Nothobranchius furzeri: one gene and its partners. The protein of the gene in region 2 interacts with the protein of the main gene of each other region in a pairwise test. Links are inferred from orthologs where the notes say so. Each region holds a gene or a part of one and is shown on either strand. Other genes may lie near its edges.

Evidence for each region.
Region 1: the proteins of arrdc3a (region 2) and nedd4l interact in binary tests that used the Homo sapiens proteins (3 or more experiments, as listed by UniProt). The link is inferred for Nothobranchius furzeri from reciprocal best matches to the Homo sapiens genes ARRDC3 and NEDD4L.
Region 3: the proteins of arrdc3a (region 2) and tnfaip3 interact in binary tests that used the Homo sapiens proteins (3 or more experiments, as listed by UniProt). The two-hybrid records come from large-scale screens. The link is inferred for Nothobranchius furzeri from reciprocal best matches to the Homo sapiens genes ARRDC3 and TNFAIP3.

Annotation. Positions count from the first base shown.
Region 1 is NC_091746.1:58,526,392-58,532,404, reverse strand, and holds part of nedd4l (E3 ubiquitin-protein ligase NEDD4-like), read right to left. Parts: intron 4,338-6,013; coding exon 4,283-4,337; intron 1,556-4,282; coding exon 1,497-1,555; intron 1,358-1,496; coding exon 1,292-1,357; intron 1-1,291. UniProt on the Homo sapiens protein: E3 ubiquitin-protein ligase that mediates the polyubiquitination of lysine and cysteine residues on target proteins and is thereby implicated in the regulation of various signaling pathways including autophagy, innate immunity or DNA repair.
Region 2 is NC_091757.1:41,570,097-41,576,657, forward strand, and holds the start of arrdc3a (arrestin domain-containing protein 3a), read right to left. Parts: upstream 3,964-6,561; 5' UTR 3,753-3,963; coding exon 3,473-3,752; intron 2,117-3,472; exon of another isoform or gene 2,089-2,116; coding exon of another isoform or gene 2,046-2,088; coding exon 1,964-2,045; intron 1,862-1,963; coding exon 1,714-1,861; intron 1,622-1,713; coding exon 1,519-1,621; intron 1,351-1,518; coding exon 1,094-1,350; intron 660-1,093; coding exon 503-659; intron 413-502; coding exon 270-412; intron 172-269; coding exon 103-171; 3' UTR 1-102. Other genes in the region: arsk (arylsulfatase K), read left to right, coding at 5,500-5,601, 5,757-5,886, 5,975-6,134, 6,319-6,561. UniProt on the Homo sapiens protein: Adapter protein that plays a role in regulating cell-surface expression of adrenergic receptors and probably also other G protein-coupled receptors.
Region 3 is NC_091752.1:25,123,852-25,128,909, reverse strand, and holds the end of tnfaip3 (tumor necrosis factor alpha-induced protein 3), read left to right. Parts: intron 1-100; coding exon 101-291; intron 292-540; coding exon 541-682; intron 683-821; coding exon 822-992; intron 993-1,104; coding exon 1,105-1,285; intron 1,286-1,389; coding exon 1,390-2,381; intron 2,382-2,495; coding exon 2,496-2,695; intron 2,696-2,827; coding exon 2,828-3,103; 3' UTR 3,104-3,242; downstream 3,243-5,058. UniProt on the Homo sapiens protein: Ubiquitin-editing enzyme that contains both ubiquitin ligase and deubiquitinase activities.

The DNA.
Region 1 (6,013 bases), on a different chromosome or scaffold from region 2:
CCTAAATAAGCCTCCTACTCCCGGAGGGACTAGTGGCGCCAATGTTCAACAGTGGGGATGGACAATATATCTGCATCAATATCGGTATTGGCCAATGCTAGTCATGTTTTAACATATCGGTATCGGTTAGATAAATAAAACCAGACTGATATTAACAACCGATATTTTTTCCATCTCGTCACCATTTGTTTGCCTGTTTCAGAGGGTGGGGATTTGTTTAGTCATGTGAACAGTGAATGAAATCATCTCAGAACTGTAAATGTGTGTGTTGTGTGTTCATAATAACATAAATTCAGCTTTATTAATTTTCATTCTGTACAAAATCTGATGATTTTAGAAGCATTAATGTTGTATATCGGTATTGGCAAATATCGGTTATTGGCCATGACAGTGATCTTAATATCAGTATCGGCCCAAAATTTTCATATCAGTGCATCACTATTCAGCAGCCTTGCCTTTGTCAGTGTCAGCTGTGGCTACATTATAGCTCATCCCCACCAGTGTGTGAATGTGTGTGTGAATGGGTGAATGACAGATTGTGTTGTAAAGCACCTTGGGGGGTTCCAGGACTCTAGAAAGTGCTATAGAGTATCAAATACAGGCCATTTACCATTTTACACAAACAAAATAAAACTTTAGAACAACAATAACGAGGAAACAAGGAAAAGAAGGTACAAAGCACAAACTACTGAGTCTAAATTTTACTAAAATAAATCATCAATGTCCTTTCTGAAAAGTTACTATACAAACATTTTTTTATGATTCTTTGACAAAAGAAAGAAGCGCAAGACAATTAAAATAGATAGTTCTAGTAAACTGAAAATGGTTCAGTCTAAATATTGAAAACTCTTTTCAGTTTTTATTAAAATAAGATTTAGCTCTGTGACCTGCCCTGAGACTGGGAGATTGAGGGTTCAAATCCACAGTCGGGTCATACCAAAGACTTTAAAAATGGGACCCAATTCCTCCCTCAGCATTGAGATTTTGGATTGGGGGGTTAAACCACCAAATAGTTCCCGAACGCAGCCACCGCTGCAGCTCACTGCTCCCCACGGGGATGGGTCAAATGCAGAGAAATAATGTCACCAGTGTGTGACAACTAATGGGACTTTAACTTTAACTAAATGTGCCAAATCAAACTAACATTTTTTTTAAACAATAAGTGTTTGGTTTATCACAAACATTAATCCAGAATATTGTACATAACTGACCTTACACGTATATAAAATTTCATTTAAAAGCATCTAATTCCAGTTCCATCCAAGATGCCATAGAAGAAACCACTTCTTACCGGTTTCTTTAATTTCTTCCTGAAGTAGTCGTATTTCTGCTTGAACTCTCTGGAGTAGGGAACAGCCTGCACAAACACACAGAGGGGAGGAGGCGTGTGGTCATAATCAGATGACAGCTGCTGATGTTAAAGTGATGATTATGAATCAGATTAAAACTTCACGGCTACATGTGGGGATTCATGTATCTGAGAGGGAACTACTCACAGGTCCTGTGATAGCTGGACTCTGTAAGCGGGGGTCCTCCCACTGCGTGGTCTTGGTATCTGCGCGAGATAAATTCATTTCAGCGGCCTAATTCTTCTACTTTCATTTGAACAGGAACACAAAAAGCTGTTTTACATTTCAAACAATGTCTTGTTGCTTTGCCTTTAGGAGTTAAATTAAAGGTTAGGATTTTTAAACAAGCTAAAATGTCAATGCTATCAATAGAAAAGGTTCAGAGGTCTAAAGTAAACAAACCAGCAAGAGAGGAAGTGTTGCACTCACAGATGTGCCATAAAACCAACATATGAGACTATAATTAAAGCTGAATCTAAACCACGGGGTTCACTAGAAGGAGTTAGCATTTAGCAATGGGAAAATTCTGGTTCAGCAGGACAAATATGACTTTTTGTTCTTTAGCTTTGTGGTAACAAGGACCAACAGCTCCCAGAACAACTGATGGTTGTGATTGGCCGATCACCAGCTAACCCTCAAACCTGCTATACCAGTCCTACTGTCCTCTAGTGGATCATCCACAAGCGCCAGAGGTCAATTTCTTTTCTTTGTTAGTTACATAATTACAGATTGTTATATCAACGTTAGCCCATTTAAAACTACATTTGATTATAATCATTGTTATTTTATATTTCAAGCATTAAAGCGGTGATCTGGACATGCTGAATATTGGTCAACACCAATCACCAGACGAGTGTTTCGGTGCATCACTAATATTTTGTTTAATTGGGGGGAAAGGCGCTCTAGTTCAGGACTTCTGATTTAATAAGATTTAAGATAAAATATCAGACATTTAAATCTGTTTCTGTGTCAAAAGCCATACATGTGTATCTTACCTATTGTAAAAACTTTATGAACAGCCTCAGTTTGAAGAAACAGTGTTCAACAGGACTGACAGTCTGGTAGAGCGCAGTCAAGCCCAAACTGTAGCGCTCCTGCTCTAAAACAGCTCCTACCTCCAAAATGTCCTAATGGTTCATATGAATATTATTTTCACACCGTCAACAGTTTCGAATTGCAAGGTTGTTTTGGCTGAATTAAAGGTACACTAAGTAACTGTGTCATACTTTTTGAACAAGGTCTTTTAAATTTTTATAACAGCTTAAAGAACACACAACAAAACAAAACCAGCCATTCCTAGGAATGTTCGATATTGGCATTTTTATCAATAACCGGCATATCAATATTGCCCAACTCTTATTATATCTTATGATATCGATATATGCGGGGTCCCCCTGACAAATAAAGAAAAAATAAATTATTTAGGGTGCTAACATTACATTTCTCCCATCAAGCATGCTTACATTTTAAACATTATTTGAGGAAAAATAACTACTTTATTTTAAGTAAGTCAATAGGAAAAAAAAAGTGTCACATTAATTTGTCTCTAACAGCAGCTGAATCCCGTTCTCCCTGTGATAATCCTGGCAAACGCTCTGTGATGCCCTTTGTAAGTTACTACGTTTTGGACAAAGATGATTATCAAGTTCATGATGAGAAAAGTTAGATAAATAAGTTAGGGATGTACATAGTTAACTGGGTAATTGCCATTTATGGTTTAACCGGGTAAAACAGTTTTGCCCGGATGACTGCTACAAGTCCCTTCTGCTGTGCTTGGGTTAACCGGCTATTAACCGTTAACGGGCGCCAATAACTGCTTAAAGAAATTTTGAAAAACGTGTATCCCTAAAATAAGTTCATAAATAGTACAAATAAATTTGTTCTAAACAAGTTAAAGTTTCAAGTTTAGAGAACGGATCAACGTGAGACATCTCTATAAACCATCTTTGTTATATTGTCTAAAACGCGAGTGAGCACTGTCAACTCTCTTTACGTTGTTGACATTTAGTCAGAAAAGAAAGTAAACGACTCATGAACACGTTGAATGTGATTTATAAGATCGTTTATTCGTCTTTGTAACTACTGATGAGATTAGGGAATGTTCGGATGTGTGTTAGTTAATTAGTTCATGAAATATTTCCAGCAAACATGTGCTAAATTAGGCTAATTGCTAAGTGTGGTGCTAAGATGTGTGTTTTAGTAATGCATTTTTCTTATTTGTATATTGTAGCTATAGTGAAAAATCATTTATTAAGACCATTAGTTTAAAAAAACTTGTTTGCTAGCCTTCTAGCTACTTGTAGCTATGTACGGTTAGGACAGCACGTGAAATGACAATTGAACAGTCTCTCAGTCCCCTCCACTCCTTGAAGGCAGAATTTCACATTTGCAACTCGAGTCTCTCCTGATTGGTCACCTGAAGTCTCGCAAAGCCACTTATCTCGTGAGAAGCAGTACTGCTTTACGGCAATCCAAGTTTACACCCCAGAACCATAGCTGTCTCCCATTTGGGCTGGGAAACTCCTGTTTTTAACCAATTTCACCCTGTCTTCCCATTTTAGCATTTTCCCGAAATATTTTTTATAAATAATCATCTCGCCCCAGAAACGGACACTAGGGGATGTTAAATGAAGCCAACACCGCCTGCCCAGTGTCGCTTTAATAAAGAGTTTCTGTCAGACTGTTTGCACTGAAAGTACCACACCCACTGGTTGAAGCTGGGAGCGGTGTCAAATATCAAAACAATGTTTGAATGAACCACAAGAGCATTTTGGAGCTCGGTTTTATGGTGACAGACTTTAATCTAATCTGCATTTAAACTTAGTTTATGAGTTTTCCAAAAGGGGAGCATTATCCCTTTAAGGGGCTGAGACGAAGCAAAAACTAAAAGCAGAAAAATGCAGAAGTGTGGAAAAGGTAGACGGTTATCTTACTGTGGTCGATGTAAAAGGTGCGCCCGTCTGTGTGAACTCTTTCTTCCCATCCAGGCTGAAAAACAAACAAAAAGCAAAACCTAATGAGGGAAAACCTCTTGCTGCATCTTCTTTACATGTTGTGCTCAAATAGTAACTTAAATCCAGCCGTTTCCGTTTCCTTTCTGAATGGTGTTTAATTGAACTTGGTCGACCATTCCACAGTCAGAACAAAGACATCCCAGCACAAAGAGGTGAGGCAAGCTCAATCGAACACAGAAAAAGGAAATAAAAGGATTCCCTGCTCTATTTGAGTCGGGTCTAACACATCAGCAAGGCAGGGGTATGACCACAACATAAAAGTCAGTCACCACTGGTACAACCCAGTGTGACACCACCAACACCAGGGTGACCACTCGGTACACTGTAACAGGCCACGCACATTCGTATGCTCGTAGGCAATCAAACAATAACAATAAATCATGAGCAAAAGGGTGGAGAGAAGAATAAAACCTGCCCATTTTAAGTTGTGCGAAGTTTTGCTACAGCAACATTGGTACGCTGCTGCTGCGAGTGTGTGGACTAAAAATAAGCTAAGATATGCAGGACACAGGTTCCTTCCTCCAACACGTTTGGCTCATTTCCCTCTTCCATCTTTTTAGGTGCATTTCTCCCTCCAACAAATGCCCAGAGGATTTCACGTTGTTCCACTGTGCCAAATTGTCTGGCTGTGCCTCAGATGCTACACAGTTACACGAACATGGAGAAATATGAGGAATCCCAAGAGAACGGTTCAGAGCTCTGAAATATTCATCATAAACAGGAGATGTACTAGTGGTGCAGGGGTGGCGCTCGCAGAAACAAAAAGAGGGGGGGGGGGACACAGAAAGTAGGGAAGAGATACAATCCATTCATGCCGGTCATGACAGGGAAAGAGAAGAAAAGGAGAAAGAAAGTAAAAAAAATAAAACATTTTAAATATGCAAGGCTGTCTGCAGGCACTTGACCAGACTGGATCAGACAGGCAGGAGGGCAGGCATAGGGAGGGAAGGAGGTACCAACCAACCTCCTCTAGTAGGTGCTGCCAAACAGACATGGCCAGGTGTAGAAGTGGCGTACATTAGATCCATCAGAATGAAGAAAAATGAGAAAGAAGGAAAAACATCACACACACATGCACACACAACACACAAGCTGTGAGATGTACAAACTCAGGAAATGGTTATTGTTAAAGATCTAGCTGCAGGGATATTCGGCCTACTTGTAAAGATTCTACTAGAAGGATGCTGCTTACCTAATCAGCGCAGACACTAACCCCAACGCTCACAGATGTTACGCTAATTAAAACAAGGCCAGACCTGTCGGCAGCACAGCGTTTTACACTCAACACCGGGGCTAAATGATTTTAGGAAGAGACTTAAATCTAGATTTATGATTTTCTTCAAACCAACTTTCACAATGTACAGAAACCTTTGGCTGAAAGTTACATTTTAGCTGTCACTAACTAAGGCTGGGCGAAAATCGAAACTTTTTTGTTATCTACATTTCTGACTGGTACCATTTTTTACATGTCAGTAAAGTTGATAATAAAAAACATGAAAAGATGTGTGTAGGTTGGTGACGTTCATGTCCCTTTAAAAAGCTGTACCACATCGAGTGACATGACAACGTAACTCAGCATAAGTGACAGCCCCATCTAGTGGACAACTGTTGTTTCTGCGCATACATGATGTTTTCCTCCATTAATCGTTA
Region 2 (6,561 bases):
CACTATGAAAGCACCGTTATCTGAGAAAATGTTCAAAGCTCAGTCTTGCAAGCGGGTTCCTTGAAGTGCCCCAAGTCAGAAAGGGCAATTTTAGGAATACGTTCAGCGCGAAGGACATGCATCGAGCCTGTGCTCCTCGGTACGGCGAGCATGATCCGGGTTTGGGTCAATCTACGGAGGAAAACCACAAAAATATGGTTATTTAGTGAAAGAGGTGATTTTTTATTGAAGAAAGGCTAATTATATGTTTTAACTATTTGGATGCTGACCTCAGAGTACAGAGGAGGAGGTTGGAAACGAAACTCATGAATGTAGGCACATAGCGGACCCTCCAGCTCCTCTCGGACTGCAGGACCATCCAGCCTGCACTGCCTCTGCTCTTCTGTCACTATCTCCGCGTAGCTCGGAGGAGCTGCAGGAGAAGAAATCACATTTTAGCATTTCTTGAAAATTACGATCAAATTTGTGTAAATTGGGGAAAAAAAACATTTGCTTTAACTACCTTCAGGTCTCTCTGGCAGACCCATGCCCAGCCAGCTCACGCTGCACTGGCTGCTGACGCTTGATGTGCGGGAGCCAAATGGGTGAAGAGGGATGGTTCCGATAACCAGGGGCAGGTTCAGGGACAAGTTTATTGCCCCTGGTATGTCGACATATACCTGAGCACAAACACGAGGACATGACAGCAATTTAGATCTTGAAAATGGGAGTTTACAGAGCTGTGCATTCCAATCTGCAAACCAATATTTAGGTAAACTGGTCATGTGGGTCAGTGTGTTCAAATCAGTTATCTGTCTATGTGAAGGGTAAAGAGGTTATTAGTACCCTCAGGGCAGGTGTTGCCTCCATTATTCTGGGCTAATGCGCTTAGCAGCATGCGGACATAACACCTGGTACAATCCCAGGTCCAGATTTGGTTATGCAAGCCGAGTCAGCCAGGCACCTTTACCGGGATATTGGCTTACAAGGAAATATTGATTCTGATGAAAGCAGAAACCCTTGTATGCCCGTCGTCTCAAAACAAATACAAACAACAAAAACGGGCACCTGACCTAAATGTTCATCGAGTGTGTGAGAGAAAGACCAAACTCACCATGAGGGAGTACTCCACTCTGATGATGCTGCAGTCCAGGATTGAGGGGGACACAGGTGGGATCTTCAGCATTTTGCCATTCCAGGTCTCCGTTTTGCCAGAGGACAAGGACTCCCCCCGCAGGTTGGCCACCAGTTGCTTGACCTCCTTCACCTTTCCTTTGGCATAGAAGGTCTGTGTCTGGTAGATGGCCGCCTTTGGCACCACCACGCGGGACGAGCAGTTCTCGATCTCGGCAAATATCTGGATAGACTCGCCTACACAAATATAAGACATAATGGAAGTTAATATTTTTCTCTAGTGATAGGAACCCTAATTATGAGTAATCAGTAACAAGTAGAGAATCCTGCAGAATGTGATCATCCCATTGGCTCATCTGGTAAACAGATGAGTAACAACCTTATCGTTTATTCACTTATCCTCACCTGGGGTGTATCCCTTCCTTTCAATTTTGGCACTTAGGGAAATTGGACCTGAGGTGCAGAACCAACAGCAAAGCGTCTTGTCTGCTGTGCCGGCCTGAGGCGACTGAAAAAGTAGAGAAAAAACATCTTATAAACATTTTTTCTTAGTTTACAAACATAAAAGCTATGCATTTCATCATTCCTATGACTTCTTACCAGCAATAACGGAGTGTTGATGTCAATGTGCTCAAAGACTGTAAATTCCTTCTTAGTCTTCATGGGCAGGAGCCATGGCCTGTGGAGCTCTGCCTTCACCCAGTAGCGCACACTGCCATGTTTTCCTTCAAAAGAGGTAGCCAGAGGTCTGCAGGTGACGGTAAAAGAAGGGCAGAAAGGAGAAAAACGGTCAAGTTCTCAAATCTAAATAACTTTTTCTCTGATTCTAGTTTCGTATTGGGACACCTACGTCTGTGGAAGCTCGAGGCTGAATGCATACTCATGCCTTCCTGCATGGATTGTAGTGAGTCCTTCCTCCGAGTTGTCATCGTCTGAAAAACAAGGAGGACAATATTCCAAACACATGTATACCATACCTGGACAAAATGCTCTACGAAGGCATCTGTAAGTCATATCAAAGAACACAGGGTGGGGGAGACAAAAAGAGAATAAACGGGTTTTACAATTGATCTTGTCTGTTAGAAATTAAGTGTATTGAGATTTTAAAAAACAGCAGAGTAAAATTTGGAGAAATCAGAAACTGAACGTGAGTGATGCTAATGCACAAGTAATTTTATGGGGCAAAGCGAAGCGATGCCTTCTCACTTATTTTGGGGGGGGAATTATGAATTTTTTATTTAATATTGCTCATTTTACATGAAAAGGTAAATATGTGGCGGATAAGGACGTGTGCGCAGCCCTTGCCAGCTCAGCACACCCTCCCCCTAGCAGAAGCCGTGTGGTAAACAAGTGCGGAGCTGTCAGTCAAGAGACAGACTCCAGCAGGAGAAGACCGGACTAAACCGGTGTGAGCAGCTTCCCTCGGCATTACGTATTCACTCCGCGACGCCGCAGTCACAACAACCACATACATAAATGCGTCTGACAAGCTCTGTGGTCCCGTAAGACTAAAGGAGCTGCTACCCACTTATTTAAACACGTGTTCCCAACGCTAATAAATATTAAATCGTTCAGCGACAATATCACCACGTCTCGGACATGTTAGCTTAACATAATCCATGCTAACAGACCTAACCGAATACATGCAAATAAAAGCTTTACTGCATTCACTGGTATAAGAAAAAAAAAACTCTTGATTTTAATTAAAAATTAAGAGCAAAGAAATCTCAAATGTCCAGCACATCCTGGTTGCAACTCACAATTCCTTAAAATTTACAGTAAAACCACCAATTTTCGTGTCCTGCAGGTGTTTTACATTGATTAAAAAGTTGCAGTTTTTTCTGCCACTCTGCAGGGGAATGATGTCATTGGCCACACACTAGCATCTTAACCAATCACACACGAGCCAGGGTGCGCTCTGGCTTTCCCCCCGCCCCCTCGCAAACCAGTTTTCGGAACAGGATTGAACCGCTTTGAACAATAGGTGGAAACTTCATCGTTGTTTAGCGATGAAATTTCTAAACAAAGCTTCATAGCTATAAAATACAGAATCAACTCAATTCCAATATGTATTTAAATGAGATAAATCCTCCCTATGCGCCTCAAATGCCATGAAAAACACAAGATACGTGAGCAGCTGTCATTCATTCTGACCACAAAAACAAGCAACGATGGAGATTTTAAAAGACAACTAAATACCCACCGAACATCTCGTCTGAAATAAGGCAATAAAGTGACAGGTCTTTATTTAGTCTTTAATCGAACCAATTATCCTGTTATTGAGCCCTGCAACTCTATATCTTTCAGCGAACCTGATCCCCAACCAGGGGAGCATCACAATTTCTACAAAACTTCTTACCTCTTTCATGTCCAATTAAAATATCTTTGTAGTTCAGGTATTCCACTTCTTCTGTGTAGTTCTGGGTGTAGGCAGTGTTGGATCCAGCGTTTCTTGACTCAGTCCAACGAACTTTTGCTATTCCTTTTGCGTGGATTTTGAGAGATTTCACCCGGATTTCTCCGGTGACTTCGACGATCACCCTCCCTGAGACGGAGTCCCCGCTGGAGAAGACGGGGACGTTGCTGTCATTAAAACAGTCGTAGCTCACTATGAAGCTCTTTACCTTTCCTAGCACCATGGCGGAAAGAGATCTTCTCGAGCTCTAAAAAAAGGAGTTAATGAAAAAATAATCTCATAAGAAAAACGGGGTTGGAGACACTGATCAGTATCTCTGCCCTGCAAGAAGCAGCGGGCACGATCAGTGGCTTCTTTGTGAGCAGTTCATTGAGCTTTGTGAAGGCTGATAACCAGCAATGGATGCTGTTATCATCTGCCTGTCTCCTTGATGGTCTCAGTCACAGACAAGGAAACCCCCGGAGCTCAGCTCACTTTAAACCAGAAGCTGTGTGAAAAACAACCTTCTGCGCCTGCGCGTGGCTGCACAGCCCCCACCTTCTCGCCTTCTGGAACAAGGCAGGCAGAGCAGTGTGAGGCAAAGCTCACATTCATCCAGCCGCCCTGCAAGTATGGTAAAAGCACCTGAAACACCGCATAAAGAAATATTTGCAATAGTCCTGGGTGAGGCTTTTGGGGCGAATTGTAACATTAAAAATATCAATTATCAATATAATAATAAGATTTAGTCCAGTCTGTACATAGTCCACCTCAATATTTGAGTAAGTATTTTTTAAAATCACACAAAACGTGTGAATTTTGTTTTTATTTTGGAGCCACAGCCTGCAGGCTTATTGTGAACACTTTACACAACGCTTTTACATAATCAGAGCAATGTCATTGTAAAATCCAAAGAGCTGCATTTTGCATGATGCACACGGCATAGGGCTGTTCAGAGTAGATGTATAGAACATGCATATTAATTATAAAACTAAAAACAGATCATCTGTGGTTGTAACTCATATACCTGACCCATTTTGATTGTTATTTAACTGATTCTGATCCGTGTATGTTGAGAAGACTCTTTCTCATTGTGTTGAGCTCCCAGTTTTCAGAAAAACAACTCGTGACTCAAAACGCCACCTAGTGGCAACCAATGTTCCCACTATGGGCTGCAGCAGAATCACCTGTTGATCTGCAACAATACCAATGTTCTTTACTTTTAATCAGCCAGTATGGGGATGCTGCCCGAAAGGTAATCAGGCATTATTGTCCTGACGGGGATTTTTTATTTTATAATTTAGTATTAACAAATGCCATTTACCTCCAATTAAATCCAATAAACTTCATAGATTCCCTGACACACCATATGTAATGCCATTTAGTGCATTCATTAATGTTTTTTTCCCATATTACATAAAACACATCTGGAAAGCTGTTTACTTTATCTATACAAAGGACACATTGACATGCACCTTAAACGTTAGGATGTCAATAGATACAGGTGGGATGACTGCAGTGCCAGCTCAGCAAAATATTAAAAAAATAAATAAAAAAACAAACGTTTAATGCCTAGTTGCATGCTGCCCTCTAGTGTCCACTTTGCCGCTGAATTAAAAAGATGGGACACTCTTCTAGCAATGTTTATAATTTATTAATTCGTGGTACTATACTTTTATGCATGAATTGGTTAATGAACGATGGATTTTGTTTGAGTTTTATTTTATTTCAGTTCCTTCTAAATATCAGTTTCATTCTTTGTCCCCATGGACACGAAACAACCCCCCCACCCCCCCTTTTTTTATAGTATACTTTTATTTTGAAATCATGACCAGGAAGTAAATACAATACCTCCCACCGACAGCGCGGTAGTAAAAATAAATTATTTAAAAAAGAAAAAAGACAACACGTTAGGGTAAAACCCGTGAAAAGCCTCAGTTTGGGAATTTTTTTCTTTACTTTTAGATATCTGTTGGAGTTCCGAGGAAAACATGAGCATCTTTATGTTGGTGTTTATTTTCGTCCTCCAAATTTTTTGTGACAGCCAAAATATTTCCAGACCAAATATCGTTTTGGTGATGAGTGACGCATTGGCAAGTAGAATCACATCTTTATTTCTTGACGTATCCTCCAGTGACTGAATCAGAGTGGCAGGATCTAAAATTGAGATGGTTAACAGTGTGTGTGTGTGTGTGTGTGTGTGTGTGTGTGTGTGTGTGTGTGTGTGTGTGTGTGTGTGTGTGTGAAGGATGGCCGATTGTCCGTTGATCCTGGCAGTAGACTTGTACATCTTCCATACATTAACTACCTCAGGGAGCTCGGCTCAACCTTCCTCAACGCTTACACAAACTCCCCAATCTGCTGCCCCTCAAGAGCTGGTAGTTTTCTCAAAGTGCGTTTGAAATGCCCTCTTTTGATTGTAATGTAAAAGTCACTGTTTGCATTGTATATCAACATTTTTCCCAGCTATGTGGAGTGGTCAGTTTGTCCACCTGACTAAGTCTTGGAACAACTACAAATGCTTAGATGCGAATGCAACCACATGGATGGATTTGCTGGAGAAGAATGGATATCGCACCAAGATGATGGGCAAGCAGGATTACACCTCAGGGGGTCACTCCGTCAGGTGAAAGTTGTTTCAGTGATGATGGCAATTATTTTTGTTAATGTGAATATCCTGGAAATAAATAACTTTAATTTATAATTCAACTAAAACCAGTTTTGCACCTATATCCACAACATTGATTGAACTGCTTCTGGCATACGTTTCACATTTCTTTGAACTTCCCATTTCTGTGCATCTGTTGCAGTAACCGGGTCGAGGCATGGACACGAGATGTTCAGTTCCTGCTGCGCCAAGAGGGCCGGCCTGTTTCTCAGCTAGTTGGGGACATGTCAACTGTAAGGATTATGACACAAGACTGGAAAAACACAGATAAAGCTGCACAGTGGATCCGTCAGACAGCTGCAGTATCGCACAAACCCTTCGCTCTTTATCTCGGCCTCAATTTACCTCATCCCTATCGAACGGACTCCCTCGGGCCTAACGCTGG
Region 3 (5,058 bases), on a different chromosome or scaffold from region 2:
ACACACACAGCGGCCGTCCGTGCGTTTGCACAATTTTAGGACTTTCTCAATTATAAACAGATCTCAAGTTTGTTTTCTTCCTTCCTCTGTGTGTCTGCAGGAGATGGGAACTGTTTGCTCCACGCAGCATCCCAGTACATGCTCGGTGTCCAGGATACGGACCTGGTGCTTCGCAAGACTCTCCACGGTGTTCTGAAAGAGACAGACACTGCTCTATTTAAAGCTCGATTCCAGGCAGAGCTGCTGCAGTCTCAAGAATTCACCCAGACTGGACTCAGATACACAACCATGGTATAAAAACCTGGCTACGTCCGTGTTTATGGTCACTGATGTTTAGGCAAGGATGCATTCGCTTGAGGAAGCATGTAACTCGTAAATAAATGTCAATGTTTTTCTCTATAGCACATTTTAAAACAGAGTATTGGCTCACACTTCCATTTACGTTGTTTTTCTTTAATCTTTCTTAATCTGTGTGTATGTGTGTGTGTGTGTGTGTGTGTGTGTGTGTGTGTGTGCGTGTGCGTGTGCGTGCTGTCCTAGAACTGGGAGGAGGAATGGGATAAGATTGTAAAGATGGCATCTCCAGTCTCCAGTAGCAACGGCCTCCAGTTTGACTCCCTAGAGGACATTCACATCTTCATCCTGTCCAACATTCTCCGCAGACCCATCATCGTCATTGCAGGTAATCACTTTCAAAGTTCTTTTATTTCCTCTTGCTAGACTTGTAATGATTTCTGCTCTACGAAGGCGTAGAAGTCTCTTTGTTGATGTAAAGGGCTGTTTAGTTGTAAACTTTAGTGTTTTGTTTTGTTGTTCAACAGACCAGGTGGTTAGGAGCATGAAATCTGGCTCCTCCATCTCTCCTCTGAATGTGGGTGGGATTTACCTGCCTCTTCAGTGGAAGTCCACAGACTGCTACAAATATCCACTAGTGCTCGGCTACGACTCTCAGCACTTTGCACCCCTTATCACCATCAAAGACAGCGGTCCAGGTAGGGCACCGAAAGGGAAACCAGCATGGGATAAAGATCTAGTATGTTTGTATTCTTTTATTTATTTTATTTTATTTTTTGTCTAACATCTCGGTTTGAACTGATCGTCCAGAGATTCGAGCAGTTCCACTAATCAACCCGAAACGAGTGGGCTTCGAGGAGCTGAAGGTTCACTTCCTGATGGAGAAGGAGCAGCCGCAGAAAGAGAGGCTTCTCAACGACTACCTGCACATCATAGAGATCCCTGTTATAGGCCTGGGCCATGACACTACGTGGATCATGAAAGCTGCTCGGTATGCAGAGATTATAAACTTGATTGTTGAGAAAGTTTCTTACTTGTTGGCCAGTAATGTGTCTGAGGATCAAAGGGCTAACAGAACATTGTGACTGTCCAAAGGCTGGACGAGGGAAACCTTCCAGAGGACATGAACCTGATGGAGGACTACCTGCAGCTCGTCAACCACGAGTATCAGCGCTGGCAGGAGGACAAGGAGCAGGCGTGGGCCGCCCAGCCGCAGCGCCCACCACCCTTCTCCGTCTCCCAACTGTCCCTCATAGAGATCCGGTGTGCCACGCCACGATGCACCTTCTACGTCTCTGTGGACACTCAGCCTCATTGCCATGAGTGCTTCGAGAAACGACAAGCCACCACCGGAGGACGAGCGAGGATAGAAGGGGTGGTGCAGACGAAGGGAGCAGGTGTACAGGGAGGAGTAGGGGCAATGGGGGGGTCAGAGGCTGAGGTGAGCTCCAGAGGAGCTCGAAACAGCAGTCCCCCATGCTCCTCCTCTGGACGAGGGGTGGTGTTATCCAGCCCCCGCTCTGCCCCGCCCACCGCTCCCAGCCTCAGCCTTTATAGTGAAACTCACGCCATGAAGTGCAAAACACCCGGCTGCCTCTTCACCCTAAGTGTGGAGCACGACGGACTTTGTGAGCGCTGCTTCAACGCCAGACAGAACCACGGACCCCCTGGAGCTGGAACAGCTGCTACAGGACTCCCAGGCACCAACGGAGCACCAGTCGTTCCCCACCCACCCCAAGGCTCCGGCTGGACCCAGTGGGGAGGCCGCGAGACAGAGACGGAGCGGTGCAGCATGTGCAGACAGGAAGCATTCAGGATATTCAATGGTCTGTGCCCACCCTGCATGCAGAGGCAGCAGGCTCCAGAAAGGGGTGAGCCACAGCAGAGCAACCCCAGGACTGAGGCTTCTGCCTGGAGCCAAACCAGAGACGCTGAGCAGCCGTGCCTCACCCTGACCCCGGGACCCACGTCGGCCTGGCAGACCCCTCTGGCCCGGCCTTGTAAAAGATCTGGCTGCCAGTTCTTTGGGACACCAGAGAAATTGGGTTTCTGCACTATTTGCTATGTAGACTATCAGACCAATCATCGTAAGTCCTGAAACAAAATGAACATGTAGACATTTAAAAATAAATACCTTATCAAACTATAAATGTTGATGAATTATCTGGCTTGTTGCTTATGCTTGTGGCTGTTTATTCCAGACTTGACTCCTCCTCCTGCTCCGGTCCAGAACAGACTTGGTTTGGAGGCAGGTTTCCAGAACGCTACACGCTGTCGAGGGTCTGGATGCGGTGCAGTTGGCAAAGCAATGCTGGAGGGCTACTGTGATAAGTGCTACGTCAAAGAGCAGAGTACACGTCTTAACCAAGTGGCACACAGGACGCCACACTCCCCTCCGCTGGTAGGTTCTTGCTCAAACAGCTGATGTCTTTTTTCCTGTTCAGTAGTTTTCTCACAGTACCCCATATCTAATTCTCAGTTGCTGACTAGTCCTTTTTTTCCCCATTTTCTCTCCCTCTTTCTCTATAAAAAGCGCGACCGGGCAGCTAAACCCAGATCTTCACAGCAATCCCAGACCCAGACTCAGTGTCGACGGAGTGGCTGCAGTAACGTGTCCCCGGGTTGCACTGACCTCTGCCCGGAGTGCCACACGCGTGGCCAGGGCCGAGAGGCCGGCAGACGGGCGCAGGCGCCCAAAGAAAAGTCAAAGCAGAGGTGTCGGACACAGGGCTGTGACCACTATGCCAACCAAGAGAAACAGGGCTACTGCAACGAGTGCCACCACTTCAAACAGATTTACCGTGGCTGATCACCCGCGACGCGGAGCGTTAACGACAACTCATTGGTAGCACGCTAGAGCCGCCGCCCTGCAGCGGGCTCCCCATGCCAGTCAATGCACCTCTGATACTAACTAACCAACTAATTAGCTAGTGACTAACTAGTAACCTTATGGCCTGAAAAATCAACCTCCCCCATGTCGAATGTGAAGCGAGAGTGTGTGTGTACATGGGGGGGCTGGTGAGTGTGTGTGTGTGTGTGTGTTTGCATTAGACATGGCCTCCAGAATACCTCTTTGTGCAATTATTATCATCCGATCCGCCGTGTGCTCTTACACGGTTAGAGGTTTGGCGACATGTCAGAGCAACTGACCTAACTCTTGTGTACAGTACGTATTTAGAGGTACGTCAGGAATCGTGCCGGACAAAATGATTGTATATTGGCGTAACAAGAAGCATACGACATTGCTTTATAGACCACAGCCAAGGATTTTTACCCCGTCCGTCTGTATGTCCTAACCCATCTGTGTATCAGTCTGCCTGTCTGTCTAGCATTCGCTCGATCGAGCGAGGGATGCAGTGAGTGTGGCAAGCCCGGGCAGAAAATCTGTGGAAGTAGTCGGCAAAAGTGAGGCGAACTGAGCCAAAGCAAAGCAAGTCAAATGTTTGAAGTTAGATTTGAAACCATATTGTTTAGCTCAGCTGTTCAAAAAGTCTTTTTTTTTTTTTCAATATTTTTTGGTCCTCTAGATATTGAGACTCTCAAACTGTAATTCTTCCCTTCCCTTGGTTCTTAGTGGTTTTTGTGTGTTTTTCTTAAGCTGATTATTTCTCTTTAAGTTAAATGAAATAGCTACATGTGGGAATTCAAAGCAAAACATGTGACCAAACAGAGACCGACAGGGCGGGACCCTGCTAGTTTTGGTGCTACATGTACAGAAACTCGAGCCTCTCCTTTGTAGCCAACATGCTGGCGTCAGAAGGCAGAGAACACAGTGAGGACAGGACTCTTGCCATCACTCCTCCTCTTCCTTTAATTTCCCCTCTTCTCCAAAAACAGATATGTTGCCTTGGACATTATTTTCATGTTTACTTGCAACTTAAGCACCTAGAAACACTTACAAGACAAACAAATGTAGTGTAGCCGGTCCTGTCAGAAGGGAATTAACAAAAGAAAGACCTTATTAGGGAATGGAAGGTGTGTCAGTTTGGATAATTATTCACCTTCTCACCACACACTCGTTTGCTCCTGCAAACACAGCTCTGTGAGATTATATACCCCCACCCGAGCCCGAGGTGACGTGTAGGTAAACAAACCCATAAAGAGTTGCTGTCCTCTACTAAATCCCACTCGAATGTGCCAGGGTGACAGTTTCCAAACTTCAGAGAGCAATCTTGTTGCCTGCTTCGGCAAGTCTTGTTTTATCTGAATGTGCTTTGTGCTGCTTCTGCAGTACTGGGGCTCATCCTGCATACGTTTTGCCTTTAAGTAGTTACAAGCCTTTATGGACCATAGGGGCCTGATCGATGACTCAGATCAGTTCTCCACACCTTTAAAACTCTTGTGAACATGGAACTTAGTTTTTACCGTAGTACCTTTGAACCCGATGCCTCATCTTTTAACTAACACACACAAGGCCCTCGCTGATGTACTTCGGGAACAAAACAAAAGAAACTGACATGTCTAATTTCCTTTGTTGATTCTTCCTTTTGTTTTGTTTTTTGGATGTTTGTTTTTGCCAAAAAAAAAGAAAAAAAAAGTGCCGTCAATTGCCAAACAGTTGTTGTTACCTCCTTAAGACGGCCAGCCTGGGTTATTCTAGTCTAAAGTGTCACAGATGGACATCTTTGTTTTTGTGCAACCCAGATTGAAGACGTCGCAGATGCTCTTTTCTGCAAATTTCTGTTTAATCTAATATTCATTTTCACGTAAAACCTCAAGTGCAAACTATTAATAGAACTCAAATGTGACATCGGCTGCAAGTCA